Lepisosteus oculatus: one gene and its partners. The protein of the gene in region 4 purifies or fractionates together with the protein of the main gene of each other region. This does not show direct contact. Links are inferred from orthologs where the notes say so. Each region holds a gene or a part of one and is shown on either strand. Other genes may lie near its edges.

Evidence for each region.
Region 1: the proteins of RNA-binding protein with serine-rich domain 1 (region 4) and ppig purify together in Homo sapiens (co-immunoprecipitation; 3 studies listed by BioGRID and IntAct, with this or other methods). This does not show direct contact. The link is inferred for Lepisosteus oculatus from reciprocal best matches to the Homo sapiens genes RNPS1 and PPIG.
Region 2: the proteins of RNA-binding protein with serine-rich domain 1 (region 4) and gpatch8 purify together in Homo sapiens (co-immunoprecipitation; 4 studies listed by BioGRID and IntAct, with this or other methods). This does not show direct contact. The link is inferred for Lepisosteus oculatus from reciprocal best matches to the Homo sapiens genes RNPS1 and GPATCH8.
Region 3: the proteins of RNA-binding protein with serine-rich domain 1 (region 4) and upf2 purify together in Homo sapiens (co-immunoprecipitation; 5 studies listed by BioGRID and IntAct, with this or other methods). This does not show direct contact. The link is inferred for Lepisosteus oculatus from reciprocal best matches to the Homo sapiens genes RNPS1 and UPF2.

What each region holds. Positions count from the first base shown.
Region 1 is NC_090707.1:15,861,105-15,868,710, forward strand, and holds the start of ppig (peptidyl-prolyl cis-trans isomerase G), read left to right. Parts: upstream 1-4,599; 5' UTR 4,600-4,711; intron 4,712-7,606. Other genes in the region: fastkd1 (FAST kinase domain-containing protein 1, mitochondrial), read right to left, coding at 192-317, 557-625, 1,718-2,052. UniProt on the Homo sapiens protein: PPIase that catalyzes the cis-trans isomerization of proline imidic peptide bonds in oligopeptides and may therefore assist protein folding. May be implicated in the folding, transport, and assembly of proteins.
Region 2 is NC_090723.1:3,728,206-3,735,281, reverse strand, and holds the start of gpatch8 (G patch domain-containing protein 8), read right to left. Parts: upstream 3,015-7,076; 5' UTR 2,951-3,014; coding exon 2,906-2,950; intron 1-2,905.
Region 3 is NC_090702.1:41,845,788-41,853,779, forward strand, and holds the start of upf2 (regulator of nonsense transcripts 2), read left to right. Parts: upstream 1-4,980; 5' UTR 4,981-5,063; intron 5,064-5,726; 5' UTR 5,727-5,791; intron 5,792-6,786; 5' UTR 6,787-6,814; coding exon 6,815-7,149; intron 7,150-7,539; coding exon 7,540-7,992. Other genes in the region: dhtkd1 (2-oxoadipate dehydrogenase complex component E1), read right to left, coding at 547-816, 1,102-1,296, 1,933-2,144, 2,477-2,629, 3,872-4,052. UniProt on the Homo sapiens protein: Involved in nonsense-mediated decay (NMD) of mRNAs containing premature stop codons by associating with the nuclear exon junction complex (EJC).
Region 4 is NC_090714.1:5,331,735-5,339,534, forward strand, and holds the start of RNA-binding protein with serine-rich domain 1, read left to right. Parts: upstream 1-4,797; 5' UTR 4,798-4,905; coding exon 4,906-4,907; intron 4,908-7,666; coding exon 7,667-7,800. UniProt on the Homo sapiens protein: Part of pre- and post-splicing multiprotein mRNP complexes. Auxiliary component of the splicing-dependent multiprotein exon junction complex (EJC) deposited at splice junction on mRNAs.

The DNA of each region.
Region 1 (7,606 bases), on a different chromosome or scaffold from region 4:
AAAGAAAAAAGATCATTTGAATTGCTCACACAGGTAGACCACTGGGTTGCTTTCTTTCTGTACAGCACAGTACAAACTTACACGTGCGGGCAGACTTAAGAACGTCAAAGAGTAACACTGAAAGGGAAAGATAACATGCCTTTCTCATTAACCAAACTTGTAACTGTATGATGTTCCTAGTGCACACACACCTGGCATCTTTTACTGAGTCCAATTTCTGCCTTACAATCTCAGTGATTTCTCCCATTAGAGGGCTAGAGTTCAGGTGCTGGTCATTTAAGCAATTTGCAAACTTGGACAGCGGGGCCATTGGTAACCTGTAAAGAAACAAGCAAATTTTTATTGTGAGAGATCCCATTTTAAGATTCTGTTTGGAATTTAATATATTTTGTTGTTAGATTTCAGAAAACAATACTTTCAAGAAGGAAGAAGCAAAGCACACTTGGTGTGCTGGTTCAATTGAGAACTCTAAGCAATAGTACAGTAACTTGAACTGAAGCAGAAATATTAGTGTTGCTATATTGCTTAACAGACCTCATCCATCGTCAATACTCACCTGTCTATTCTGCGCCATCCTTCTGTAACAAGTTCCTGGACCAGAGAGTCATGTGGTTCCACACTCAGCCTTCAGGTAAAGCAATTAAACAATGTGATGTAGTACTGCAGTGATGTTGTACAGATACTGAGTACTTCATGGTGACACACAAAATTGGACATAAAACAGGAAAGTCAATTACGAATTACCATGTTGTGAACAGGTGTTAATCTCAGAGCAGACAAAATGAATTACATCACATTATTCTGAGCTCATTTCCACATCCCAGTCTTTCTTAAATTGCGCTTAGGGATGATTATTACCATTAGTAATCTGGACAATAAAAAGAGATAACTTATACTATCTGCCTTGTGCTTTCTCTTTCGAGATTATTTTGTAAATGTTAATATGGAAAGAAAAAGCAGTGGTATCGATTGGAGGGAGTTAGCTGTCAATAGCAGATACCGTCATAAAGATTAAGAGCAACCCATAACCGAGATTGGCTCGGGCCAGTTTAATATACTTGCTCTTTATCTACGTGAAGCAGAGGACACAAATTAAAACTACATTGAAGTGCTTTTAACTCTGAGAACAGGAGGCTCCTCTCTACACAGAGGGCGGTGTGTGTCTGGATCATGTTGTCAAGGCCAATATTCTGGTTTATTCCAGGAAATAATTAATAATAATAATAATTATTATTATTATTATTATTATTGTTATTATAAATAATAACAGTTCCTTCTTCTTTAGAAGAGTCTTTACTTAACTGGTTCCATTCTTTACCCCTCTGCTCCTATTGTATTTAGAACCACTATTGTATTCTCACCGTGTTGACCTAGTGTATTTTTTATTGTTTATTTTTAATTGTTGTTGTTGCTGCTGTCATTCTGTAAAGCACTTTAAGAAGCCACCTTTAGGGGCCCTATAGAAAATAAAGTGTATTATTGTTGTTATTATTATTAAATAACTGATGGAGATCAATGAGCTAACAAAAACCAAATGAGCTAGATGGAGTTAATGTTCCTTACTGGGCACACAGCTGGCCGAAGCCAAAAGCAATGACAGCTACACTGACGATCTTCGTTGTCAGAAACTCGCTCAGGAAAGTAAGGCGAAGCTGCTTTGTGCTCTCCCTTGAACAGCGTTCGGTTTGTTCCCCACCCGCAGAGCCTGGCGTCTCACCTGAGCACGTTGTACAGCATGTCCACGAGCTCGCTGTCCGGCAGCTGCTCCACCTTGTTTTCCGCCAGCACGCACAGGGCGAGGAACTGCGGGTGAGTCCTGGTAAACTCCAGGGTGCGCAGCATCTGGGGCTTCTCCTTCTGGAACTGCCAGAGCCGGCTCACGGCCAGGCCCACGTGCGCCGCCGACAGCTTGGCTTTGTTCCTGCCCACGACGTCCAGCACCTGCTCCTCGCTCCCGCTGGCGAAGAGCTGCTCCAGCACCTGATCGCTGCCTGCCACCCGGGGGTGCAGGAGCCTCCAGGAGGAGCGACACACACTCCGCAGCCGCAACATGGCCCCGGCCCCTGTCCCCCCCCCCCGCTAGCGCGTGCCGAAGGAACAGACCGCCGTGCAGGTGCTCATCTCAGGCTGGTGAGCTTCACAGCCAAGTCTGTGCCCTGCTTCACGGATCCAAAGACCTCAGAAAACAGCCTAAACCATTCTGGCCCAGCAGATTCTGGAACACGAGACAAAAGGGAAACAAAAACAGTTACAATTACATACCTGTCGTGGCAAGGAAGCATTCATACAACGTCCAAAGGCGAGGAAGTCTTTTCTCCGTTAGCAATAAAGAGCAAACACACTGCAAACCTTGAGAGAATAACAACTGTAGGGTATTTGCATATAGTTTATCAGATGTTGAGGTTAAAATAATCTTGAATGAAACTTAATTAGGATTTAATCACACAATTCATTGGCCCAAAGTCTAAGAAAGACCACTACAGGCCCAACTATTGACGATCTTTCAGGCAAATGTCGGATGAGATCTTTTTGGTTGAATAAGCTGCAAGCAAACGAATGAGCGAAAGACCTCCCACCTGTCTTGTTCTCACGTACTGTAAGTATTCATAGTCCTTAAAGTTACTGTCAGCTCTGTTACCGCCTGTCTCAATAACGAAAGAGAGACTCAGGCACTCAAGTAAAGATCAGGAGAACATGCAGTTAATTAACAGAAAATAGGAAGCACTTTTTTAGATAAGAGAACTTTTCGGTCCAAAACAAATTACACAGCCATGCTGTCAGAGCTATAACCAGTAGGAAAGAGCAGTAAAGTATTTCGAGAATGATTACACTGTAGCAATTTAAAAAAGCAAGGAGAGTCAAACTCCTCTCAGTTGTAACCTTTCCTGTACTGTGCACCAAGGCAAGGCAGAGATCACTGTCTGCATATGATCTCTAAGAGTACTGCACACAGCTCACCAGGGGAACTGGGGGAAACTGGTCGACCTTCACCTGCAGGTGGGTTACACTATATGGGACTTAAAACAGTAAACTGGCAATTAAAGACCGTGATGAAACACAAGGTAAAACATTAAAATATCACCACCGCAAGTAAAATTAACGACCATAACAGGTCGCTTTTTAAAAAATAAAAATAAGACTTTTAATCTAATGATTTCAGTTTTGGGCTAAAGGTAAACTGTTCTCAACTTCACAAGCAGAGAGCAGTCGTGCTATTCCACGTTCTGTTACTAGTAAATAATTTTCTTGTAGCTGCTGTTCAGCTGAAAGTTTGAAAAAACGAAGCAGAAATACAGCAATCCTCGTTGATTTGTAATCTACAGGTTAGTTTATTATTTATTAATTCGGTTTATTTCAAGAGCTGGTCCAAGACACACTACCCTCTTACTGTACTGTGGGCTTATTCGCCTTGTTATGGTCAATGGACTTTTTTGTATCTCAAAAAATACTTACCGAAACATAAAAAACAGGTTAAACATCCCGACAGCGAGCAAATTATATTTACCTTTACGTAAACCAGTTTACGGGTAGATCACTTGCCTGTGTGCAGGGTTTCGCATACAGATAGCTACACTACAGCAGATGCTAACGTGCTTGAGACGCACGTGTAAAGAGTCAGGTTAACATTCTTGTGCCAGACATCTTTCACGGCACTGTGGTCAATTACAGATTTCAAAAAGATAACGTCGTGTTTAAATTACCTGGATTTTATCTGCAAATAAAATGCAATTCAACAAATTCCTATTTCTCGAATGTCACCCTTATTTAACTGCAGAAAGTACCATCTTCCTGCCACAAAATGGCCCGTCATGTAACATTGTTTCAGGGACTATCGCTATTTTAAAACATCATAAAAAAGTTGTACCCCTCAATGTAATTGATAACAAAGGTTAACAGAATTCGAGACGCAGAAAACATGTTATGAGGAATTGTGCAAAGCAAGCATTCCCCTTAGTCGTATTTTATTAATACTATATAAGGAAACAACAAACGTTGAACATTCTAGATGACCCCTTTTTCTTTACAGTAACCTTTCGAATATACACGCCTATAAAAGCATCCATTTAAAAAATATTGTGGCCATCAACCCAAATTATACGGTACCTATATTATATAAAAAGTTAGAAAAATGTTTTATTTAAAAGTGAATTGTTTTGCCTCGGGGATGTTTGGGTTTTAATATCATACAAATATTTGTCATTTTTATTTAAACTTAGATGGACAACTTTCAATTTGCACTTTTAAAGAACGTTATTGTAAAGTATTATAACGAAAAATGCCGGAATACTGTTTTTACAGGTGAGCAATGAAAAGGATAAGCTAGTAAACAGCTGACCTTTTGTGACAGTTTTCTCATTTTTTGATTCAGACTTATTCTCTACAGTTAATTTTGCACAAGTTTTAATTCCTTATTATTCTCTATTCCTCTAAACCTGTCTTAAAAAGTGTTGTAGGGCAGGTTCTTCTGTAAAATATGCGTTTTGACCTGTAAATATCTCAAGGAAGCAGGCAGGGGGTTGGTGATGTACAAAACCGCGCATCTATGACCCCGCTCAGCCGCGCTGACTGGCGGATATTTACCCGAAATGCATTGACGTTTCTCTTAGCGCCATCTTTAGAAATTAGTGAAGGAGAAAAACTGAATAAGGCTCGTCTTCCTTCTGGGTTGGGGAGCAGCCGAAGGGTGCCGGCAGTTACAGAATTTACTGAGGTAAACGCTTATTGAACCGCGTACTACCAGGAGACAGCTTTCGTGTAAAGAGTCCGAGTATGTGCGAGCAGGGGGCAGGGGGAGAATATTTTTGTTGTTGCGGTGGTGGTTCGTCCCTGCGGTGAAGTTGAATTAACTGCTGTGTGCACCCAGGCGCAGGCCTTAATCCGGGGACTCGAGTAGTCGCGGCCGCCGCAAACGCTCAATGAGCCGTGGACGGCGGGGCTGGAGAGGTCGCGCGTCCCGTCCGCCCGGAGGGGGGCGGCAGCCCCCCGTGGAAACTGACGGAGGTTTTGCCCGGCCACAGCGCGGCTCTCCGTTTTTTTTTCCGGGACGAGGCCTGCATCAGTCAGAGCCGGGGCGGGAGTAACGCCGGGCGCTGGTTTGTTTGAATGAGTGCGGGGCTGCCGGGCTCCATTTCTCCTGCCGCCTCGGGCAGCGAGCAATGAGCGGCTCCAACTTCTCCAGACGTAACACACACGCATCGCCGTTTGAAACTTTTTACTTTTAAAATAACACCTTGACCCTATCGCATTACCGGTTTCTACATAAATACATGATTGTGCGGTACGTGGGTACTGTTTAATTCGGAGGGAAATGGCTAACGTGTTTATTTTGAAGTTGTCCCATATCTCATATCACGTCGTCGCCAGGTACGGAGGGTGACCCCTCTCCTTCCCGAGTTGAGGGGGTCAACATTTTCGCTCGGTAATTCATCACTTACAGTTTCTACCCTGCAGCGTGAACGTTGCAACTGAATTGCCTGCGTTTTGCATTTTTGCGCTTGCTTATTCCCAGACGTTTAATTGCCGTTTCTAATTAATGTAATTGTTAATTAGGTAGTAAAGTGTGGTACTTTGCTTTGCATCGCTTGCAAAGTTATTATTTTTGTTCACAGATCACTTTAAAACGCAAGACACCTTGAATGATGGTCCTGCGTAAATTAAAATTGTCCCCTAGATAAACCAATGTCGAGCAAGCTCTTTTCTGTCATTTTTAGATAACCCACTGCTCTTTTTGGTTAAAGGCATTTTAGAGTCGCGTTTTCAGGCTGTTGTAACATTTCTTTCTTTGTAGAACTGTGTTTTTAAGCATTTGTTCTCACCCCTGTCCTGGTGTTGATTTTAGCTGAGCAAATTTAGTTGAGTCCTTTACAGGTAGCTGCAGCAGCATGCGTGGGCTGCAAAGGAACAAGTAAAAGTTTATTCCATGCTGAAAAAAGAAGGTAAACGCAACGTTTCGGCTGAGCACACCCGAAGAGGCTCCACAGCCGAAACGTTGTGATTCCTTTCTTCTCTTTTCAGCATGAAATAAACCTTTACTTGTTCCTAAGAAGATGCTCGATTGGCACCTTGGGAAATTAACAAGTAATAGTATAATTACTTTATTACTTTAGTAATAGGTTTATTACCAAACACAACGTTTCGGCCGTGGAGCCTTCTTCAGGTGTGAGCAGGGGGCTTCAGGTTGCTCACACCTGAAGAAGGCTCCACGGCCGAAACGTGTTTTCTTTCTTCTCTTTTCAGCATGGAATAAACCTATTACTTGTTCCTTTGCAGCCTACGCATGCTGACGCAGCCACCCACCTGAATTACTACAACCTTTGGAAATTAAGTTTGTTTTTTGTACTCGCACATCGGTGTTTTGAAGTTACTTATGAAATGTGATCTTTGAAAGACATCCTCCAACATGTTCAGGAACTGAAAAGAAATGGATTTCAAATGAATCCTCTTGTTATTCCAATTAAGGGTTCCACCTGTAAAGGAAAGCTCAGCAGGGACAGAAACCAACTCTCTTATTGATGCCCAGTACCACATTTGGAAAGCCTTGCTGTAAGGAAAGGCAGACTTTTATCAAAATGACTGGTTGTGGTTGTGGAAGAGCATTTCAGATATACCTGCATCTTATTTCTTGCCATTTTGATTTCCTAAAAACAAATTTTGCTAAAAATCTCAAAACAGTAGTGGCTTACATGTTTAAAATAATTCCCGTGTTTTGCTTTGTTTCCATTCCACATTGTTCTTTACTGTTCCTGCTCAGTTTCTTCTGCAATACTAACTTGACCTGGCAGCATACATAGCTTTTTAAAATGTGTGATAATGGCTACTGAATGGAACATATGAAATCTTCACATTCAGCTTTATAAACTTTTTCCAGAGGGTATTTTTGGAGAAATGGTTCAACATGAATGGTAAGTGCAGTATCGTGAAGAATATTTATTTGCATATGTGCTGTGCGTTCATGGGGAAACAAGACTTGCGCTTGCCAGTGAAAATTGGAGATTATTACGGTTCTTGCAGTAGGTAGTGAATGAAGAATGGTTCCACTTCTCAGTCGCCCCTCTTGTTTTATTTTGTACCGCCGATGGAGATTTATGTTAATAGGAGTAACATGGGCAGTGCATTTACCCATTGTGTGTTAAACAGGATGTGCAAAGCTTGCGCACAACTGCAAATGGACCGTCCTGGTTATATTTTAATGAAATTGAGAGAGACTGTATAGATAGATACTTTATTGATCTGTGAGGGAAATTGCACTGCAACGGCAGCTTAACACAGACAACACAGCCACAGTGTAACAAATGATACAATAATAATACAATACATACAATACAATCAGTACAGTGAGAAGTGCACTAAGAAGAGTTACTCGCAGTCCAGAACACACAGAACAAACCAGAACAGAACAGTACACCAAAAAGTCGTATTGCACAATATAAATATAAATGTATTGCACAGGTCCCTGGCATATAGTGCACAAAAACGGTTGTAAACGGGAAAAAGAACAACAGATGCATCAGTTTACCGTTCAGTCCAGAAACAGGTCACTGTCAATGTTGCCTCTGCCCAGACGCAAGGTGGATGCGTTGTACAGTCTTATGGCAGAAGGCAAGAA
Region 2 (7,076 bases), on a different chromosome or scaffold from region 4:
CAAACTGGCTCAAAATCAAGTACTCATTAAAGCAGAGGAGAACTGAAAGAAACTAATGCACAATTTGACCTCAGTCTACTTGTGGGTCTATTTCTGCAAGAATTCAAAAAAGAAATCAAAACCTATGAAAATATAAATGGCCTCTTATTTAGGTAGGTTAAAAATTGCGATGATAAACTCCCCAAGTAACAATTTAGATTCCAAGAAACCCCAGACGGCATTAATGATCCTCCATACAGGACCTGTCGTTTAAATGGATAAACGTTATAAACTGACAATGCATCAAATTCCGGGAAAGAGTATATTATAGGAGCACAATGTAGTCCACAAACAATAGAAAATTTGAATAACATGACTTTAATCTGCTTAAAGACCAACAGAAATAGAAATGATTCATGCCAGCCTTCAACAGTTTTAAATGAGGCAGAAATTAAATGTGTTTAAACGAAAAACTAAGTCAAAACAACTCTGGTTTGTCTGCACTTCAACTGTTTAATACACGTCAGTCTTCTGTACCTATACTAGGAGCTCTCAACAGGCTGCCAATCACAGCTGCCCACACAGGAGGAGATCAGATTGTGTGGAACATCTCCATACAGAACTGTCAATTCTACAAGGGCTGAACTCCCAAACACCTGGTCACTGTTTTTTACACCAGTAAAAAAAAAATATATATAACAATATTTTACCAGACGAAATCAGTGGAGAATTTTAGTACCAAACGACAAGAGTCAGTCACCCACAAGGACAAGGACTGAGAAACCCTGACCTACAGAACAGCTCTATTAAATTTTCACTTCTGGTTTTCAGCAAGTTGAGACACTAAGCTGATGTCCACTTCGAACCTTATAGAGTGCCGTATTGAAGCTTTGGAATAATATCTGGGTTTTTGACAAGTCCACTTAGACAATGACTGAGCAGCCTAACGTATTAGTGAAAGGTTTTTCCCCCCTATTTACTGTATTAATTCACTTCACAGGATTGTTTTCCTCACCACCTCATAGCCCTAGATTGTTATGTCCCTTTGGAGCAAACAAATGTAGATCCTTAAGATCTATTCCACTGCAAGATTCGCCCAGCTCTTTAATCATCTCAGCAGCTGACGGCTAATTCAACTCTTCGGTATCTCAGGCCTGCGATGAAACCGAGCGAGGGTCCTGTACTGTATTATCCTTGCTCCAGGCCACGCTGGTCACCGGAAAGAAGTCCCAGGGGTCATCACCATCTGGACGAGAGCACCTACTCTAGGGAGAAAACAGATGGAACCCATCTGTCATGCCTGCACCACGGTGCAGACTGGGAAATCCCAAGGAAAGACCTGACTCCGCTGGGCTGACGGCTGAGACGACAGACACACACCGAGGCGACATCAAATGCCCATGACCGGTCAGAAAAGGAGAAGCTCACTCCAACCCTAACTTCGCTGTGTCATCATCCCATAAGTTTCAACAGCTTGATGCAAAGAACTGTGGCTCAAGACCATTTTGACTAGCGGCGTGAGGATGATAAACTAGCAGGTTATAACTAGGTACTGCACAACCACTGCAGGCACAACGGCAACTCCCAGCATCCCACAGCTGGAAGCTCTCCTTATCCCACACTGCTGGCCTGCGGTACACCCCAGCTCCCACCCTCCTCGTCAAACCTCTCCCTGAACTGCCAGACCAGATCCCATTCCCATGGCCTCTTCTTCGGGGGAAGAAGCGGCACAACTAATTTAAGCTTAGCAGGCTCCCTAAATTAACACAGCCCAGCAGTGCACCATAACCACCTGATCAGACTTATCATATGCCCCCAAATAAAGGTGCGATTTCACCCTCAGAATAACCACTCCAAACTCGACTGCCACCGCTATCAAGAGAGACGCACTTCCACAATCAGTACATAATCCACCCTCATCGAGCTTTTCTATTACCAGTACAACAAGATGCTACCAAATCCATATAAAATATTTAGCTTGTTAATGCTTCCAGCTTAGAAGTTATTTTGCTGACAGGGAATGGATCTCCTGGGAGTCGACTATGACTAAGACTAAACCAACAACAGAGTGAGGACATCTCTCAGCATTCCTGCAACTTGTATATCTGGTTCTGCAGCGCAGAGATCACTACACGAGCCCTCACAGAGGAGGAGGAGGAGGCGGCGGCAGCCAGGAAGGCGTGAGGCTCTTGAATAGGCATCATTGTTTTCAACTTGCCTTTAACTCCAGCTGGTTATCGCCGTTGACGACAAGAGTGAAATCAACACCAAAATGTCGCTTTCGCGGGGCATAGTTTATTCAGAAGAAGAAGAAGAAAAGAGCTCAAGTAGTGTGGATCTCACGAAGTCACATTTTTTAAAGAGGGTGGCACTAGAACTCAAAATCCGTCGATCTTGAGTGCCACTGCTATGAGGGGCTCGGCGTCTCACACGGGGGGGTATGAACTGGTTAAACGCAGAGCAACATCCGCAGTTTAGAAGGCATGTTAAGCTCTGCCCCGGCGGAGTGGGAAGGTGAGATGTGCAATTCGCCATCGCCATTCGGTTCAGGCGGCCATGGCAGTGCGGTAGTGCCCTCCCCGCCGTACCCCGGCCATGCACACACTGCCCCGCACCCCGCAACTGCAAGGGCACCGCGCTTCAGAGCACGGCCGCGGGGAGCAAAACACGGGTCGTCAGCGCCTACAAGCCCTCCCTCCCAGCACAGCCCCGAGACCTAGCGCCTTTTTTTTTTGTTTACCACCCTGCTAATGCACACAGCGCCGCCTTTCCCTTACACCACTTCCCACGGCCCCCAAGGGCGCCCAAGAAGCTCGGTTTGTGCTGCCATTTCCGCGCCCTGACGCGCTTCAGAAACGCTACAGCTGCCCCCCTCGCCCGGGGAGACCTTCCCCCGCCGCCCGGAACCGGCCGTTTATCCATTTACCTGGAAATCACGATCCTCGTTGAAACGAGAGAACCTGTCAGCCATTTTCCTGCTGCAGCTCCCGTCGTCTCGTTTTCTGCCCGACCTGGCCCTGCGGCTTCGGAAACGCCTACCGCCATGTGACGAGCGCCGGCGAGCACCAATCGCGGCGCCCCCTGCCCTCTGATTGACGCGCCCTTCGACCAATCCAAGCAGTGCATCTTTTTTTTTCATTCCGCCGTAGGAGCCTTGCCGAAACACCAAACATTGACAAGATTGTGTCCAATTGAAGAAAGTAATTCTCCTGATGAACAGAACCTTTAACCAATAAAAGCTGGCGAAGAGATGCCTTTTTTTCCTCTCGAACTACAGATTGAATGTATTATGTGTGAGAATTGAGTTACTGTGCCAGGGAATAAAGTGTGCTAGTGTCCTTAGCTGAATAGCGCACTGTGTACTACCAAACCTATCGACAAGGCGTACGGCTGTTACCTTGTAGTATGAGTTTATCAAGCCTAATCTGAATTTATTTATTGCATAGTGGATTTCAACTGCAGAACGGTCAACTGCAGAGAGATCATTCTTAAAAATGGCAATGGTATATTCATGGTTGTAACAGTTTCCTTCCTACACTTGCATTTTTTAAAAGGACCCATATTTTACAGACGGCTTTAGTTTAGTATTGAAAAAATATACGGGAAAGAAAAATAAAACGTTTTCTTCAGGCTCAGGTCGAATGTAGATCATTTCGTCTTCCCTGTCGTTTATGGTCTTTAACCAAGCACAAAATAACGGATGACTAATAATAATAATTTAGACGAGTGTCTCGCAAGAGACAAAAAAGCTTTTATACACACAGCATTTTCCTATACTTTTCCAACCTGTCTATTTAAGTGACTCATCTCTTTGAGACAGAAATGTTGCTTTCTGTTAACAATAAGGCGTAATTATATATTACCACCGGCTTTCTTTTACATAATGTATTGCTGTGGAATTATCTTTCCTTTTATCTCCATTTAAACCAGTCCTATCCGTATTATTATATACACTACTGTGGAAAAGGCTTGGACACAATCAGGTGTTACAGTATATGAAGGTGATGTGCATCAGCAAGTTACTCAAAACCTCCACTGGTATTTGGTACAATGATAAAAATTTAGTTATTAATACAGCTTAGATTGAGTGAGAGAAAAAACAAGCTTGTCATGTAGTCATTGGTCATTCACATGAATGAAAAACACTTCAGAACATTTGTATCATCATACTCAAACTAAACCAATCATGAGCAGCATATAAGAACATTTAAAAAGACCACAAACACGAAGTGGACCATCTAATCCCCATGGATGGTAGAGGCAAATCCATAGATATCATTCAGACATTTCTTGAAAAAATAAATGGTATCGGCTTCAACAAAATGGCTAAGTAGCTTATTGCTGACAGCCAGAACTCTGTGTAAAACGTGCCCTCTGTTCCCAGTTTTAAATGTACCTTCTTGCAAATTACACTTGTGTGCTGGGGTTCGTGTCTCGGTGTTGATTCTGAAGAGTTTACAATGCCAACGTCTCTGAGGCATTTGAATACTTGAATTATATATAAAATATGTGAAGTGTTTACCCATTTACGTTTACCAGTCAAATAAATTCTGGCCGGGTGTGGCTTGTTATTCACATAGTGTGTTCCTCTCTACACATCCATCGTGCTCAAAGGCAACATTTCGCTCTACAGCACTGAGATCTGATAGGACTTAAAGCCAAGTGGCTACAATTCCGAAGGCAGAGAATAACCGGTGTTGTGCTTCAGCGGAAAGAAAGGAAAACCCTGAGTGGTAAGAGCTGAACAATGGAAAGTGTCTAAGTCTGCCGCACAGCTGAGTCTGTCAGACCGTTCCTAGTGCTACACCGAGTCGGCAGTGAACCAGGACCAGTATGGACCCAGAAACAACAGGGCTGTGTCCCTTGTTCCCTGTAGAACACTGCCCACTACAAAACATCAGCTCACAAACAGCTTTCGTTCTGCTCTTTTACTTGCTTGCTTTGTATTGTGCATCACTGATGCCACTTGATCTTGCGCTGCATTTATACTGCACTTCACTGACGTAGTATGCTGTCCACCGTGCTGGATATGAACTGTTATAAGGAAGAGTGCCTTTTTTTAAACCAAAACCGTTAGTAACTGAGGAGCCACTGGAAGAGTAATGTTGTGCAATGCTCATTTACTATCGCAAAGGTTTTATTTTGACGTGTCACCGTGAGCAGAGACGGGCAGTCTCCCCTGAAAAGAGAGAAAAATAACGATCAATTAGGAAAGTCAGACTTGAAATCGGATCGTAGGTCGAGGTGCGCCCCCTGCTGACCATTCTGTGAACGGCCTTCACGGAAGAACCCCACGGCCTACTACGCGTTCGTTATCCCGAACCGCAGGTAGGATTGGTCTGGTCAGGGCATTGATCGCATGTTCATTCCAAGCATGTCCCAACATTCCCAGCTGAGCCAGGCTTGTTACTAGGTGACGACGATAGGTATTGATGTGGCAAGCAGACATTCAAAAACCTCCTTGGCCTTCTAATGTTAACCCCTTATTATGACTTTATAGACTAGCATACCCCCTTACAGGCAACTTCCAAAACCGAACAGCTAGCTGGGTCTTTTACCAGAAAGACAGTACAAAGTTTTTTAGTCACTTCTTTACCACCCTCATTTGTTTTTGTTAATATTAACCAAATACAACAATAATAATAATAATAATAATAATAATAATAATAATAATAATTGCTTGCACTTATACATCAATTTAATCAATTTCCCTTTGGGATCAATTAAGTCTTATCTATCCACATGAGGGGGCGGGGCAGAGGCACTGTGGTTAAGGCTCTGCACCTGTGGCTGGAAGGTTCCCGGTTCGTATCCTGTGGCTGGCAGAGGAGTCCTACTCCGTTGGGCCCCTGAGCAAAGCCCTTAACCCCACCTGCTCCAGGGGCGCTGAACAATGGCTGACCCTGTGCTCTGACCCCCAGCTTCTCTCCCTGCCTGTGTGTCTCATGGAGAGCAGGCTGGGGTCTGCGAAAAGACAAATTCCTAATGCAAGAAATTGTATCTGGCCAATAAAGTTTTCTTATCACATATAGTCCTTTTTCTGGACACTCCACTCAAAGCGCTTTACAGGTAATGGGGATCCCCTCCACACCCACTAGTGTGCAGTCCCACCTCGATGATGCAACTGTAGCCATAGTGCACCAGAACACTCCCCACACACCAGCTACCAGTGGGGTGGAGAAAAGAGAGATGAAGCCAGTTCATAGATGGGGATTATTAGGAGGCCATGATTGGTAAAGGCCAGGGGGAAATTTGACCAGGACACCAGGGTAACACCCCTATTCTTTTTGAGAAATGCCCTGGAATTTTTAATTACCAGAGGGAGTCAGGACCACGGTTTTACATCTCATTCCAAAGGATGGCGCCTTTTTTTAGAGATTGAAGATTGAATCTTCTTCTGATACAAGATTGAAGAATTCCATCATCTTATTCTGCACTGCTCTTTGGAACAGAAGCTTTGTCTTGCAGAATTGTTTACACTGGTGCAATACACTGGCTTGGGGTTATACTACAGCCTGTTGAAATAAGAAATGACGCAAAATACTCTGTACGGGGCACAGAGTGTAGCCAATATTACTGAGGAGATTCAATTACACTGTCCTGGAGAGAGGGACAATGAAAATTATTAAAGCCGCAAAAGAACAAATAAACATGTTCTTGATAAAAACGTTCATTTTAACCTAAAGTTCCCTCTTAATTCAATTGCCGAAGCAGATTTTCAGCACGCCCTAGCCGATCTGCTGCGCAGTTGGGCTGCAGGTGCAGACTGCTGCGAGTTACGTCAGAGCTCTGCGCCGCTCTGGGATGACGAGCGCTGCAGGAATATAAACTTTCCAGCAGAGGGCAGTCTAACCCCGAATTGGGAAGACGCTGAACTATTCTCCCTTTCCTTCTCATACCTTGTGTATCTCAAAATGTGTTTTGTCCAGAATATACAGGTACATCATTAAGAGCTGATTAAATTTAAAACTGAGGGTGACATATACGCACACAAAATTAAACTTCTCCGCGGGCAAATTGTTAACCAGTGAATTTGGGCCGTTGATTCTAGCGAGGGTGCAGGACAATGTGTGCGTGAGGGAGTATATCAGCTACTT
Region 3 (7,992 bases), on a different chromosome or scaffold from region 4:
TTCAGAGCTACTGGAGGGCTGGGTATGTCCCATAACCCTTTATGTAAAGATGTGCCTGTTCTCGGTTTTAAACACACTTCCATCTAGCTTCCACTTTTGACCTTGGTTCATGTTCCACTGTTAAATCTGAAAACGTTTAACCTTGTTAAGGCCTTTGAGGATTCTGAATACTTGGATCAGACCCGCTCATAGCTTTCTCTATTCAAGACTAAAAAGGTTAATCAATTTTAGCCCGTGAGTGCTGACAGGCTCTTTAAGCCTGTCAATGTATGGGGTCTTCTCTGGACTGCTTCTAGAGCACTGTCATTTTTGTACTGTGGCTTACAGTAATGCACACAATAATTGAAATTTGGTTTTACCACTGTATTCAACAAAATTAACATGACAGCCATTCATCTAAATTTTGTTCTTCACCATCAAGTCTTAGCATTTTGTTTAGCTTTTATATTGCTTCACCACGTGGTCCAGAAGATGTAAATGATGTAACCATGGCTCTTGGTGAATGGTTCTCCAAGACAATGGGGTCAGCACCAGTGGCCATCTTACCTGCAGACAGATGACTTTGTCCCCAGGCTGACCGCTGCTGTCTGGAGAGTAGTCCCCATCCTTCTTGGACTGCTGTCTTCCTCTGGTCTTGCCCACTGTGACAGGGTTGATAGCCTCCAGGTGCGAGGGGTTGGGCAGCATAGTGACATGGAGAGGGTGTCCTGAACCAAAATCCAGATCTACGGAGGAGGTTAGGTGGGACAACACGTCTCCAATGGATGGGGAGTTCTCGGGAAACTCGCTGAGACCCCTCATCTTACGAAACATAAGCTGGAAAAAGAGGGGAAGGGGATAAATTATGCCAACAATTTTCGACGGTCTTCAAAGCCACCAAAAGAAAGAAAAATATCTACAGTGTTGCTTATCTAGTAATATAAATAATAATTCTCAGAAAAGTAACTGCTGTGCTTCAGTAAAACCTTTCTTCAGAAAAACAATGATAAAAAAATGAACTTATAAACATTAGACTGAAGACATGAAAGACAGCCTCAGCACGGAGTGATTAAGGAGTGTTTTCTGCATTGTGAAAAATATCTGGTAGTTAAGAATCCAGACCTCCGGTGGAAACTGCAGGAGCCCAGTGAGCAGGTTGAGTCTCCCGCGATGAGGCATGCCCATGATCACGTCCGTCACTCCACTGTACGACACGCTGCGGAACAGCTCATGGAAGAATCCCATCATGCTCTCTGCTCCTTCCCCCCCATACCTCTTTACTGTTGCAAACTTAGTGGCCAAGAAGTGGTCAAATTCCTGCAAGGCAAAACGGATACCTCATTCTGCAAATGCAAATCATCGTAAATGACAGTGGGGAAGAGTTTTCCAGTAAGGTAACATAAAAAGGATCCAATCCAGACTATCCTGTAAGTCCGGTCACCAAAATCTACCTCATCAACTTTATATAACACCTTCTGGAGCTGGAGTGCAGAAACCTCCAAGGATGACTCCTGTGAGCAACGCAAGGCTTTTATCTTAGGAATCATCAGCGCCAACAGCCCTTTGAAAATGAAGCAATACTGTATTCACAGTAGGGTGGCACAGTGGCTGGCATTGCTGCTTTGTCGCGCTGGGACCCTGGATTCAGTTCTGGACCTGGGATACTTTCTGTGCGGAGTTCTCCCCGTGTTTATGAAGGTTTCCTCCGGCTGATTCAGGATACTCCCACAGTCCAAAGACATACTGACAGGTTCATTGGCTTCCTGGTGTGAGTGCATGCGTGTTTGTGTCTCTGTGTGTGTGCCCAGTCATGGACTGGCATCTAGTTCAGGGTGTCTCCTGCCTTGCGCCCCCTGTTCGCCAAAACAGGCTCCAGCTCTCCCGCAACTCTGAATTGGATAAAGCAGTCAGAAAATGGATGGATGTATTTGCAGCGGGACTCCTCTGTCTTACCTGAGATTCCAGCATGAGCTTGGCCAGTTGTCTCCTCTCTTCAGGGGAGAAAGTTTCCTTCTTTAGTTCCTCAAACCTGCTGGCAAACCACTCTCTCTCCTCCAGGCTTTGCAGCTGGCTGGTCTCGATACTGATGTGGCCACAGTAGGTATGGTCCAGGTATGCCAAGACATTTTCCAGTGAGGCCTCTCCTTTCCCAAAGTGAGTTAAGGCTTTATTGAAAACAATAAGTCAGACAGTTAAAGAAATATAGACGGTGATTCCGTGGTGTTGAGCTAGTGAAATACTTAGATACCGTTTCGTAGAAATGGTCCTACTGCAGTCACACTGAGATGTGAACAAGATAATGTTTAAACAAAAAGGCCTTGAACATTTTTGCATTCAAGTGGAAGACTTTTGACTTTCAGTGTAGCAAAAAATCAGAAGCTCAAATTTGTGAGAAGCATTAAGAAGGACGTACCCTGAAACAAACTTTAGTGGGGGGAAAAAGCTACATGCAGTCAGATTTCTCTTTAAAATAAGAAGTAAAACAAAAATCACTTACTGCTTGTATTGAAAGGCCCATGAAGCACCTCAGTTAAGTAACTGATTTCAGGCACCATGTCCATCACTGCCTGCCCAGTGAATAAGGGGTTAATCTTTGCTGCCTTATGCCCATGAGTTCGGTATGCCTCGACCAGCCGTGCCAACCCATGATCTACAAAGACAAGCACAGGAAAAAGATGTTGACTGTAGCTCAGAAAAGCACTTAACTCTCATAATCACTCCTTACTTAACCAAAAGATTACTGCTTTACAGTAATGATTCTTACCTTGCAACACCTACATGTGTAACTATGGTCCTAAGGAACAAGCAAGGTTAATTCCATGTGGAAAAGAGAAGAAAAGAAATACCCGAAGAAGGCTCCACAGCCGAAACACTGTGTTTCTTTTCTTCCCATTTCAGAATTAACCTTTACTTGTTCATTTGCAACCTACACATGCAGACACAGCTACCTACTTGAGTAACTTTAGTCCTAACCTACTACACAATACATCACCTACAGTGGTTACAAATCACCTCACCAGATTAATTCAGGGTGAATATTAGGGAGACTAGCTTACAAAAGCCCAGAGTGCAAATTAAGTTGGGACACCTGGACCTCTCAAATATTGTTTGGGATCATTGAATGGCCTTGGTTAAACACTGCATCTGAAGATAAACTGAAGATAGCGGACATTAATAATGTGGAAGGGGCGATCCAGGTGAAGGATACCAGTTCACTTTATGTTGTGACCACTTCCCTGCTGTGCTACAACACTTTACCTTATTTTAAATAAATAAAAAAATATTTAAATAAATTATTTAAATGCGTGAATAATTCCGATGAGTCCAAACATAATCCTGGAGGGTCGGTGTGTCTGTGCGTTTTCATTTTACCGCAACGTTTAACAAGCAGAACCAGCTGGTTAGTGATGTAAGTGGACCGGTTTCACAGGTTCTCGCAAACGGCCCAGTTCGGCCGAACGGCCTCCTTTCGTGTGTAATCTTTCTAATGTTCTTAAAAGTCAATTGAAGTAAACTTACAGACAACCGAGTCGTCCGGGAGCAGGGGATACGACGCCCCTTGAACTGTAGACGTACAATTTGACACTGTTTATTCAGGGGAGTGATCAGGCCCATATTTGATTCTAGCTCTATAAACCGCTCATAAGCAAAAAAAAAACATTCAGGTTTATAGACAAACCGTAAAATGACCCAAACAACCAGCTCCAAACTGTGTGCGTGGCATTTCACTTGTTTGATTGCAATGAAATGTATGAATGTTTCGATTATTGTAATAAGCTTTATGTAATGTAAATAATTTAACACCCACACGAAATGTGTCCGTTGCCTGTGACACATACAATCTAAATACAATCAGATACATTAAATGCCTTAAAGGCATAATCCTACTGACCTTGATCATGTGCAGAGATATGTTCGTTCTTGATCAATTTAGGGTCTGTGTCAGTCCTCTTTGGTTTGTATCCGTAGACGCCTCTCTCTGTGTGATATAAATTACGTAGAAGTGGCCGGGCAGAATTCAGATAAGTTCTTGTTGCTAAATGGAAAGGTCTAACTAAAATAAATGCTGACATGTTTTACTCGCTTATCTTATTTTAAAACAAATACTTTTTCAGCTTGCACACTGTACAATTAGTCGGCCATACTTTCTCCAGAACAGGGGGTTTAGCAACACCTCCAGCTCCGATTGGCTGAACAGCGTGGGATTTAGTTTCACGGAAAACAGCGAGACAAGCAAAGCGCATGTTCACCTGTTCGCTTTCATGCAACAGTAACTCGAGCGTTTTATATAAGTAAATGAAATGTACGTGTCTGTGGGAAGCAAAACATTAAAAACCAAGCATCTTAAAGTGGGGATAAAATGGTTAGATACATAGCTCCACGTAAAGACCTCACGGTTAGTTTAACTGTTTCGATGGAACTCAATCGTATCATTACATTAACTGCAACAGGGACTATGAGCATCCATTGTTACATTTATATCATATACAAATATTATTATTGTTGTTGTAGAAGTGCAGCTGTGGTATGTTTGTATTTTAACTGGGAACTCTTACAGGTTCAGGATAAATAAGCTATTTGTCTTTCTACAGCGCAAATAAAAATGTTTACTTTTCTGAGTCGTAGCAAAGTAATCGAACACCAGTTTAGGGGGAAAAACAAAACATGTGCTTAATTTTTTTAATTGCATGCTTAAGTATGATCTCGTTGTTTCATAACATCCATGAACATGAAATACATGCCACTAAAATATCCATGCCCGTGTGTTAGCTCTCAGTTCATCCCATCACTGCCGGTTGTGACGTATGGGCTTAATAGTGCCAGAGGTGTCCTCGGATTGCCATTTCGAATTTGAATCCACATTAAATAAAGTTATTATCCAAAAATAGAAATAAACTCAACATTTTAAAATCTAAAATCCAATTTACAATTGTACACAAAGCAGTGGTGCCTTCTACGTCGTGACAATCTACTGCTATTTTATTTAGTTCAGGCGCTACACGTAATACCTGCTGACGAGGTCCTTCGTCTGTACTGAAGGTTTTTTTAACTACAAACAAACCTAATGCTTACATGAATTGAAGGTAATCGTGTTTTAATTTTTCTGTAGAATCTTAGTTTTTTTCCTCCTGTGTGAGGGTTTGTTTATGAATTAATTGGAATGTTGCTGTCAGTAGTCACGCATTTCAGTAAAACCCGAAAAGAGCGTTTAAGTGTTTTTTTATTAGGCCTACTACACCTGTTTATTTTTCTTAAAACAATTGCTTTCTGACAGTTGCTTTTGCTGTAGTGTATGTTCTTTTTCCATTTTTGTCTGTATTTTTCTGGGCCTAAAACGTTTCCGGTGGGATAGCGTTACAGATATAATTGGGGTTTGGAACGTCGCACATTAGTCGAGTTACCACATTAACGTTATTTGTCCCGTGTCGCCAGGTATTTTCACATCTTTTATCTTTTCAAGTGCACCTTTCCTCATGCGCAGAGTTAGATGCGGGGTGATTAACCTGTTACATGGCTGAAATCTTACCCCTTCACCTATCGCACTCGGCTCTGTATCTGCTAACTGCCCAGTGCCCGACAGTTCCACCATTCCGCCTCTCGCGAAACAGCTCAACTGTCAGTCCGCTAACGGTCGGCTTTCTGGACGGGGGTGGATTAGTTTTACAGCACACTGTCCGGCGACAGTCATAAGTTTGTCTTTCTTTCATTCCCCAAGTGTGATTAACTAACCGCGGCTTCGTTTCCAGAGCCTTGATGGATCAAGGATGGCGTTACGCTGAGGAAAACAGAATCTAAGCTCCTATCAGATCTGGTAAGACGTTTCTTTTTAAGGGAACGTCGTTCAGTCTTTCTGCTAAGTGATAGTTGGGAGAATTTCAGCTTTTAAAAGGTTTTGTTTTGGGGTGAAAATGTTACCATGGAAGTTGTATCTTAGTTATAGATCGTGGCAGATTGAAACGTGGACGTCAAACGAAGATGTTGTCTTTAGTCAGTATATATGACTTTCATAAGAGTACTTGTAGCACGATTAATTATTTTAATTAGATCAATTTTATGCCTCTTTTTGTAAAGAATACTTTAGTTATGTATGTGTCAACTTAAGGCTTTATACTTGACTTTGTGGGGATTGTTGTTAAAGAATTACTTTGAATAAAACTTGGGTGTATTTCACCATTATTAGTTTATAGTCAAATACCTCAACCATTATTAATAATTATGTAAATTAATATGGAACCTTTTAATGTTTCTACCAAACGCTTACCTTTTGAAGACTGTTATTTTTACAATTTAAAACCTTCTGTAATTGGAGAATTACAGAATGTAATATCTCTTCTTATTGGAGAAGAGACTGGGGTTGTATGTTTTGGCGTTGTGTTAATTGATAGATTTTCAAGAGAGGGCAGCATGGTGGAGCAGTCGTTAGCATTGTTGCCTCGCAGCACTGGGGCCCTGGGTTCATTTCTGGACCTGGGGTTCTGTCTGTGTGGAGTTTGCATGTTATCCCAGTGTTCGTATGGGGTTCCTCCCTCACTCCAAAGACATGCCGGTAAGTTAATTTGCCTCTGGGAAGATTGGCCCTGGTTCGAGTGGGTGTGTGTCTGTGCCTGTGGGTGTCCTGTGATGGACAGGCGGTTTGTCCAGGGTGTCACCTGCCAAGTACCATTGCTCGTAGGGATAGACTACGGCTGCTCTGCATCCCTGAGCTGGATGAAGCAGTTCGAAAATTGATGGATGGGTGCATTTTCAAGAGAATAGCAGAAATGAGTTTGCAGTTTTGTTAATGAAGAAGCCAATTGTGTTTTACAGTATTGCCTGCGCAGCGTAAGAAGTCAGTATGGATGAAAAAGAGGTGTGTTCTTTCAGCAACAAAGAGAAAGAGAGTGGCGACAGGCGCCCCGCCTCATCCAGGGAGAAGGGAAAGGAAGACCCCAAGGTCAGTGGTAAGAAAGAGAATGCCAAAACTGTAGAGGAGAAGAAGAGAAGGCTGGAAGAGGAGAAGCGCAAGAAGGAGGAGAAGGAGCGCAAGAAGAAAGAGGAGGAGAAGCTGAAAGCTGAAGAGGAGCAGCGCAAGAGGGAGGAGGAGGAGAAAAAACAGCAGGAGGAAGAGGAGAAGAGGATGCAGGAGGAAGAGGAGAAGAGGCAGCGGGAAGAAGAGGCAGCTCGGTTGAAGTAAGACGCCAGCTTCAAATCCAGCCGCCTGTTTTCTTTGTATTGCACATTCTGTTGCTGAAGTAGTGTTTTTATCTCCATTTGAAGATTTGTTTCATTATAAGTCCCCAGTTATTTGCAAACACCACACGCAGTGTTGTCCTCTACACTAGGGCTAATGAAAACAGCTAATGACAAATTATTTAAAATGCTTGTCAGTGAAATGGCCATATTGCAGCTTTTAGTTTTTCTTCCCCATTTACTGTTGAGGGCTAAAATTTAAATCTGTGGTCAAAGTATGCTTCTTGTGTGAATCATTCTACCTGATTCACTACCAGAGATTAGTGGTCCAAAGTATGCAAAAATGTTATTGCGTCTACAGAGATGTATTTTCTGGTGATTTTCTTTCAGAGAAAAAGAGGAAGCGCATCAGCTTCACCAGGAAGCGTGGGAACGGCACCAAGCAAGGAAAGACCTGCGAAGTAAAAACCAGAATGCCCAGGAGGGCAGACCAGAGGAGACGTTCTTTAGCAGGCTTGATTCCAGTCTCAAGAAGAACACCGCCTTTGTGAAGAAGCTGAAAACGATCACGGAGCAGCAGAGAGATTCTCTCTCGAATGATTTCAATAGCCTCAATCTGAGTAAATACATTGCCGAAGCCGTGGGCTCCATTGTGGAGGCCAAGCTGAAGATATCTGATGTTAACTGTGCTGTGCATTTGTGTTCTCTCTTCCATCAGCGATATGCTGACTTTGCCCCATTACTACTCCAAGCCTGGAAAAAGCATTTTGAGGCAAGAAAGGAAGAAAAAACACCAAATGTAAGCAAGCTTAGAACAGATCTGCGGTTTATTGCTGAGCTCAC
Region 4 (7,800 bases):
GTGTTAGTTTATTGTAAATGCTCCTTTGGCAGGGATTACACTAACAAGACGTCTCCTTTGAGTGGCCCTTCTGAGAGGAGACATGTGACCATTTTAGAATGAGACATTCGTGGTCAATTTCCCATCCCTGGATTGTTCAACATGGCAGAAGCAGTAAGAGTAGTAATTAATATTGGGCTGTGCCTAAGAAGGGGAGGCCAGGAGAAGACAATGATGATGCCATAGTTTTTAAACAGAAACAAATAAAATGTTATTTCAGATTCTACTGATGATTTAAAAATGTCACCCTGATTGTTTATTTGAATCCCTACTTACCAAACCACGAGACTAATTCTTAGTGATAACGAAAGGAAGAAGTTTAACTGGAAAAAAACAGCTACACAATCATCAACCAACACAGGGAATCAACATATTGGAAGGCAGATTCTGTCTCAAAGTGATGCTTCAATCTCCTTGAATACTTGAAATTACAAAACTCTCATCAATCATCATTATTCTTTAAATACAGAGGACTCTACTAGCAAAACATGTTTTTATTATGGTTCTACAGCTCTCCTTTATGATATATCAACTGAGAACAAGATTCCAATAATAGCAGTGTTCCGACATAGGAAGAGAAATAATATTGGGAGCTGAAGTGATTCAAGAGTTAAAATCACAAATGTGTATACGTATAAAGGCATATATAAAAAGAACTATAATCAAATCATTATCTTTCTCTCTTAATCCATTTTTTAAGTAGATTGGGCTATGCTAAAATGTTTAGAAAGAACACACCTCTAATAGTCTTCAATGGAAATGTATTAAAGCAATGCTGTAGTGTCCCTAGAAGGGTTCAGTAAGAATCTTACATTTTGGCTCAAGCCCAGGCTGTGGTGTGTCTCTGAGCCAAGATGGCTTCTGAGCAGACAGGGATCTGGAAGCAGGTGTGCACTATTGAGCTGGACACACCTAGGCATTCCACATGAGGATTGTAGGGCTTTTGCGATTGGTTCCTATGGAATTAGCCACGCCCCTTTACTTACTGAAGAGGCTCATAAAAGTGAAGCCTGGGAGAACAGCATTTAGTTTGTGTTTTGAGTTGTAGAAGAACATGAAGATACTTTTTTTTTTTTGTATGCTATACTAATATTCTTGTGGCTTTAGAGTTTCTATGGTAAGAAGAATAAGATATCCATGACTAGGAGAATTCAGCCAAAACACTGTTCCTGAAGCAGGCTGATCTGTGAGACTTGACAAGTTGTGCTGGGGTTTGGAGTTGTGGTAAGTTATGCTGTCATGTAGGGATGGCTAAATATGCTGATGTGTACCAGCTCATGGGTAAGCTATACTGGGAGTAAATTACACTTGCGGAATTCCTAGTTGGTAGATGTTCATAGTACTACATGTGAAAATGAGCTTTAGAAGTGTTAACTAGCTGCTCATTGCCTCCAGAGTTGGTGCAGAAGGTTTTAAATGCATAACTATTGACCTGCCTGCAAAATGGAGGCATACAATACCTTGAATTGATCCATCTTAAATGGCCACTTAAACTGTATGTCTTGGCAAAGTAAGTTTCCACAAGAACCCCATTCCAGGGGACTAGGTTTGTAGGCTCTTAAAGTTATACAGCAGGGAGCGCTCTGTTCTTTGGGAAGTGGGAACCTAGTTTATTGTTCAGCAGAGACCCGACGCAGAAATCCCAGGCAGGGTGCTGCTGTGCTTAGCTTTAAAATTGAAAGTACACTGAATAAAAGCCTCAGTCTAACACCCCTTCCCTTTTGTACTAAAGTGAGCTTCCTCTTGGCAGGGTCTCCACTGGACAAGTCTATGGGATGGTGTGGAAGTCTTCCCATGGTGTTTCATGATCTGGGTAAGGTTGAGGAGCTCATTCTCCAAGCTTGGGATTCCAAAGTGTGAGTGGTCCAAGTAGGAATGTTGTTGGTATTGAATGGTTATTTGGTTAACATGACATGCTGTCTAATAAAGTGTCAGGACTTGGTCATGTAACCTTTCCTTCCCTCCTACTGGGAATAGAGCTCTGTGGATCATGTGAGAATGGAGATGGGGAAAGTGAAGCTCTTCCAGAGGAATGGGACACCCTCAACACTGCGTCTGTAATGTGGAACAAAGATCTGGTTTGTATGTTGATCCTCTGACCTTCTGTCATGTCCTTGGCCCTGATCTTGAGAATTGTATCATGTCTATGCAATAAAGCTAAGGTGTCACTGGGAAGTCTTTATTATTGCCCATTAACTCTGAGGTGACGTGCCTTGGGTTAATCCCCCAATATTTTATCCTCCTGAAGACTTGTAGGGGGACAGTATCTGCCTTCAAGGGTAGCTTTTTTTTTTTTCCAGCAACAATGCTGACTGCAAATAAACTGTATCTTAACATGTATAATGAGGGGAGGGTGGGGGACACTTACTGCCCCTGTCTTAATGGGAACAGATCACACCTTTCACTAACCAAGAAGCTACAGCTCTCCAGTTGTCACATTTGTAATACAAGGCTAAGGTTATTTAACCTATGCAACAGCAGAAGATGGAGTACATCTGTTTATGTAACACATTAGGTATAATTGGTATCTGGAACATGGTAGAACTACTGTTCTTCCTTACTTATTTTGCATGAGTACTTCACATACAGCTCTGTGGAGGGGGGGGTTGACATGTAATGCAGGGGTTTCACAAAGCCTGCACTAGTGTTGCGCATATATAGACATTTTATAGAGACGGGGTTAGAGGGCAGAGCTGTAGCTTACCATGTCAGGACCTAATGGTCTCATCTTCATGGCTGGAAGGTTGGCCTGCTAGTCATTTCACTACTGCACAACAAAATGGAGAACAAGACCAAGTCCCTTAATGTAGATACCACTTTTCTTCATCTAGTTGTATATGGAGGAGTATGTTTAAAGTTCCTGAAAGTATGGAACTGGTTTTGTTTAAACTAGAAGGCAACAAGGAAATGGACAAAGTCCTTGTGTGTAAGCACTTTTCAAGCTGAAGTACATTACAATATGGGTGGAATTGACTTCATCTGCCATGGAAATGCAGCAGTACAAAGTGAGACATACCAAGCACTTAGCACCAACAGACCCTCTACCAGGTACAGAAGTGAGAAATTAAATGACTGTGAAATAAGCCCAGTGTGTACAGTAAGTCTGGGCTGGAATTTAGCCAGGACTCCAGCGTTAACACCCCTACACTTTAATCTTTTTGGACCTCTCAAGCATCTCATTAAAATGATTGAACCTCTTACAGTGAAGGGTAAAATGGAAGTGAACCACCTACAGGTCTCTCCCACCCTACGCACCACTTGCAATAACAGCCTAGATTTTGAGGCTCTGAATCAGTCCTGAGTGGCTTAATATGAGGTTATGCCAGTTTATTTTTGCCAGATCTGCTAATTAGCTGAAGAGGTGAGGAGTTTCTATTGGACAAAGCTCAGCTGTGGTGGGGGGATATGAGTACCTGTGTTTCCTATTGATCAGTTGTTTATCTCCGTTTCTCTATGGGATAAATAAAGTATTATCTATCTATATACTAAAGAGCTGTTTCTATTGGTCAAAAAGAGGAGGCGTCTATTCAATTCTAATTGGTCAGACAAGGATCTGAGCAGCCAATCATATCATTTTCTAGGTAACCAGTGACAAAGCTAGATGACAATCTTCATGTACTGGAGATGGTCGAAGTTCTTGAAAGTTTCGAACAGATAGGATTACAGAAAGACATTTTGTTTAAATTGAATAGAAGGCAACCTTCTAATCTCTGAATCATTTTTACGTCTTCATAAATTCTCTTAGCATTATAATAACCACAAACGAGTTAGAGCAGAGCTCTTATAATAAGTATAATGTTTGACAACAGAATCCACCTTTAACAGACATCGTTGTCTATAGGCATGTAGATATGTATAAAAGTGTTTCGTATGTGTATTGAATGGTACTTATTCCGATTGCTGTGGATGTTGTGCAAACTCGTCGGTTTCGGTTTGACTGCTAAGACAATTGAAAAGCGCGTCATTTACAATCTATGAAATGTTTAGAAGGGGTAAATCTGATTGCGTTTTTACCCCAGTGTCGTAGTTAACTGACCAAAGAAAACAATTTACTGTTAGCTTTTGTCTGCACTTGAAGCATGACGTTTTTTAAACATATAATGTATATATGTTCAATTATTTTAGGTGAAAATAAACATTTTCAAATATTCCCTGGGTCTGCAATGAATGAAACAAAAGTTTCAAATGTTGTTCAACTTAGTACATAGTACCCCTTAAAAAACAATTTCCAGGTTTTTTAACGTTTCCGAATTTACTTTGCATAAAACAGTACAATGGTCTTGTAATACAGGACGTTTATAAGTTTTTTAAATAATTTTTATTTATTTATGCATAAACTATAACAAAAATACAAATACAAGCAAGAGTGCATATAACATTTCAAGACAAAAAAAACATCGTCAGGGGGTATATATTACAAAATAAATTCAAATTATGAAAAAAAGTTTAAACAAAGATAACGTCCCCACTGCTTTCATATTTTTACATTTTTAAATAGTCTGTAGATATTCCTTTACATCCATTTTAAAATGCTTTAAACATATGATTCTTCCCAGACCACTTCATTTTGTGTATATAACGTGCCATTATAATTAAATTTATTACAAACGGTATTTTAGAATTGTTTTGGATGGGGCTGAAACTTAACATGCCATCTTTTTCTCCAAACAAATAACAGCTCCTACAATTTACTCCCCCTGTGCCCAGCCGCTTATTAACACCTCCTTGGGCTGCCTGTGTTACTGTGTTTGAGGAGGAAATTCAGTTACGTTCTCGGCACAGACCACGGCGATACAGTCTGACGAGTTTGGCCGCTTCTGCGTCATCAATCTGCGCCCGCCGCGGAGGGAGACTTTCTGAGCGGAGATGTAAGTTTGTGTGTGTTTTTTTTTTTAGAAACCATCTAATGCAATCCTCGATGTTATAGCGGTTTTAGGACACTGAATCTTGTTTTTATAAATTATTTAGTCGAAAGCAATGCATCTCGAAGTGATATTTCCTGTCGCGGTGTTGGGATTGTGCTTGATTTTGGAGCGGGGGGGGTGTTGCTTGAAAGCAGAGCTTTGAACAGATGAATGAAAACATCAATGGCGGACGAGTGGGTTCGTTTGCCGAGTACAACGGGGGGTTTGGATTGTTTCCACAAATGCACTGAAACTAGGAACATAAAACGTTAATTGTAACTTCGTCTATGAAAATGTAGGGCAGTTTCTAAAAGCTTTACGAACACAAAGCCTAACACGTCTCTGTACTGTCGACGGCTTTATTTAACGTACACAGTGAGGTTTGTGTAGTTCGTGTACACAAACCTCAGCTAAACCTCACAAAATTTCTACTTTACAGTTCACGTAATGCAGAATTCTCTCCATGTGGCTTAATGTGCTCAAGGATCAACAAATACATAAACTCTATAAAGGTAATTGAGATAATAACCCCCCTCCCCAAATCGTGCGTATTTAAGTAAGTTTTCCATTTACGCAATATGGGCTAATAATCATTTAAGATATATATAGTGGATTTCGCTTAATGTAAAAAACACACCGTGGTTTAACTCGCTACATTCAAATGGTTATCCTAGAAATTTGCGCATGGAGAGCTTAGAATTAGTTTTTCAGTGCCTCTTGGAAAATTGTCCCTAAACAGAGTTTTGCACAGATTTTCCCTGAGCAGCATTCTCTAAAGCCACTCGCAGTCTGTTAAATTGTACTTAAGAATATGAAACTGTTAAGACACTGTACGGTGCTTACCTTAAATGGGTTAATGCGTAGGTGCTGACCAAACAGCAATACCGTGTATAGTTGTACACATATTTTAATTATATATCGATAGTGTTGCCATCCATTTTAACGTTTTTGTTTGCATGTATTCTTTTTAGCATTTAAGCTTTTAACATTATGTATTGGAACATGTTTTGAAATATTCCTCCAGTTAGTGTCGCCTTTCTAGCTCGGTTTTTAACATTGGATTTTAGCATTTGCAAACTTGCCACATTAAACATTTAAGCCCTCTTGGAATGGTCTTTGGAACTAGTGGGGCTGCCACTTAAAAGGAGGTTTGTTTGTGTGTTTTGCCCAGTTGAGCCTTTTCCAGATTGGGCTCAGTTACTGAGGGTTGCAGGACAGGCCTAGCTCGATGAGAAGCATGCTGGTTTAAGTGTGCATGTCTTGGCTAAAAAAAAGGAGCAAGTAACGGTTTATTCCATGCTGAAAAGTAGAAATAAGAACCAATGTTTTGGCTGTTGAGCCATTTTCAGTTGTGAGAGAGGAAGTTAACTGGAATATAAGGCACAGGAGAACAGAGGACTGAGTAGGTGGGAATGAGAGAGTGTCCACACAAAGGCCAAGGTGTGAAAAGCTGAAATGATCGTACTGTACACTAACAAAAAGCCATTTTTTGGGGGGTGGGGGTAGTATGAGTAGGTGTTTGGTTTATTTGCAAGGTTATTCAAATAATGGGATTGAAGTTCAGCATATTAAGCTACTATTTCCTGCTTTAAGCTTTTAAGCATGTCCCTGAAAGTATTCATAGAGTGTTGGACTTGCTGGTGCTCTCTTGTGTTCATACAGGATCACGTAAGATGTCAGTGGCTCCCTATTGTGTTGTTTCTTGGGCCTTCCGAAGTTCAGGGCTTGAAGAGCTTCTTCACTGCCTGATAACTTGATCCTTGGGGCAGACGCCTCTTACAGACAGAGCACTTGTTCCTGAAAGGTGACAGTGCACACTGATGCTCTGCTAGGAACACAGTACAGGAACTTTACCCTCCTTCCCTTACAGTCCAGTTCGAAACGCTCCCCCTCAAGTCTTTCTCCCTCTCCCAGTGTGAGATGGTGAAATGTAATATTGTTAAACTTGACAGTGGTTTCTCTTCTCTGTTTATTGAAAAGTCATTTATTCTAACTGGCGGTGAAGATTTCCAGTTAACACAGGGTGTGAACAGTTTGAGTGCGAAACACCACTGACCTTTTACACAGTAAATATTCACACTTTGTGCCATGTAAAATAATACTGTCTAAATTAGTCATTTATACAGACATTTCTTCATGATGGAAAAGGTTTTTAGAGGTAGCATCTGGCTGCCTCCAGATGACTGAATGTTTGAAACTGCATTACAGTTTTTTTAAATAATTATGATCATCTGGTTATTCAGTAAGGTATCTAGAACAGGATTATTTTCTCAGAAGAGCCAACATTTTAAATCATGAAATAGCATGAGATATGAAGCCACAGACATCTTCCCATTTTTTACAGCCATTGCAGAGAAATGAGAAGTCATTTGAGAGACCTCATGGGAAAACACTAATTTCTTTACTAGTTTATGCAGGTGAGACCTCATCTTCAGCAGTCTGAAAGAGTTATGTCATAAGAGGCTATAGGTTTGCAGCTCTGTGCAGGACAGGGATCATTTGGATCACCTCTGAACTCGGCGAGCCCGTGAGAGTGGTTCTGTGAACGCAGAACACGAATGTTAAAAAATAGGATGGGAATAGTGATCATTGTGCTGCTTTCATTGCGGTAGCTGTGTACTACCGAGAGGATCTGCCCGGCCTGGCGGCTTGTTCTGGCTTCCTCCCTCGGGTCGTCCCTTGAAGGATATTGATCACGCTCCCCCCCCCCCCTTCCCTGACAGGGCACCGTCACCCACGAAGAGGAAGGACCGCTCCGAGGACAAGGCCAAAGACCGAGGCAAGGAGAAGGTGGGAGCGAAGGAGGCGGCGGACAAGGACCGCGGCAGGGAGAAGGCCCGCAAGCGCCGCAGCGCCT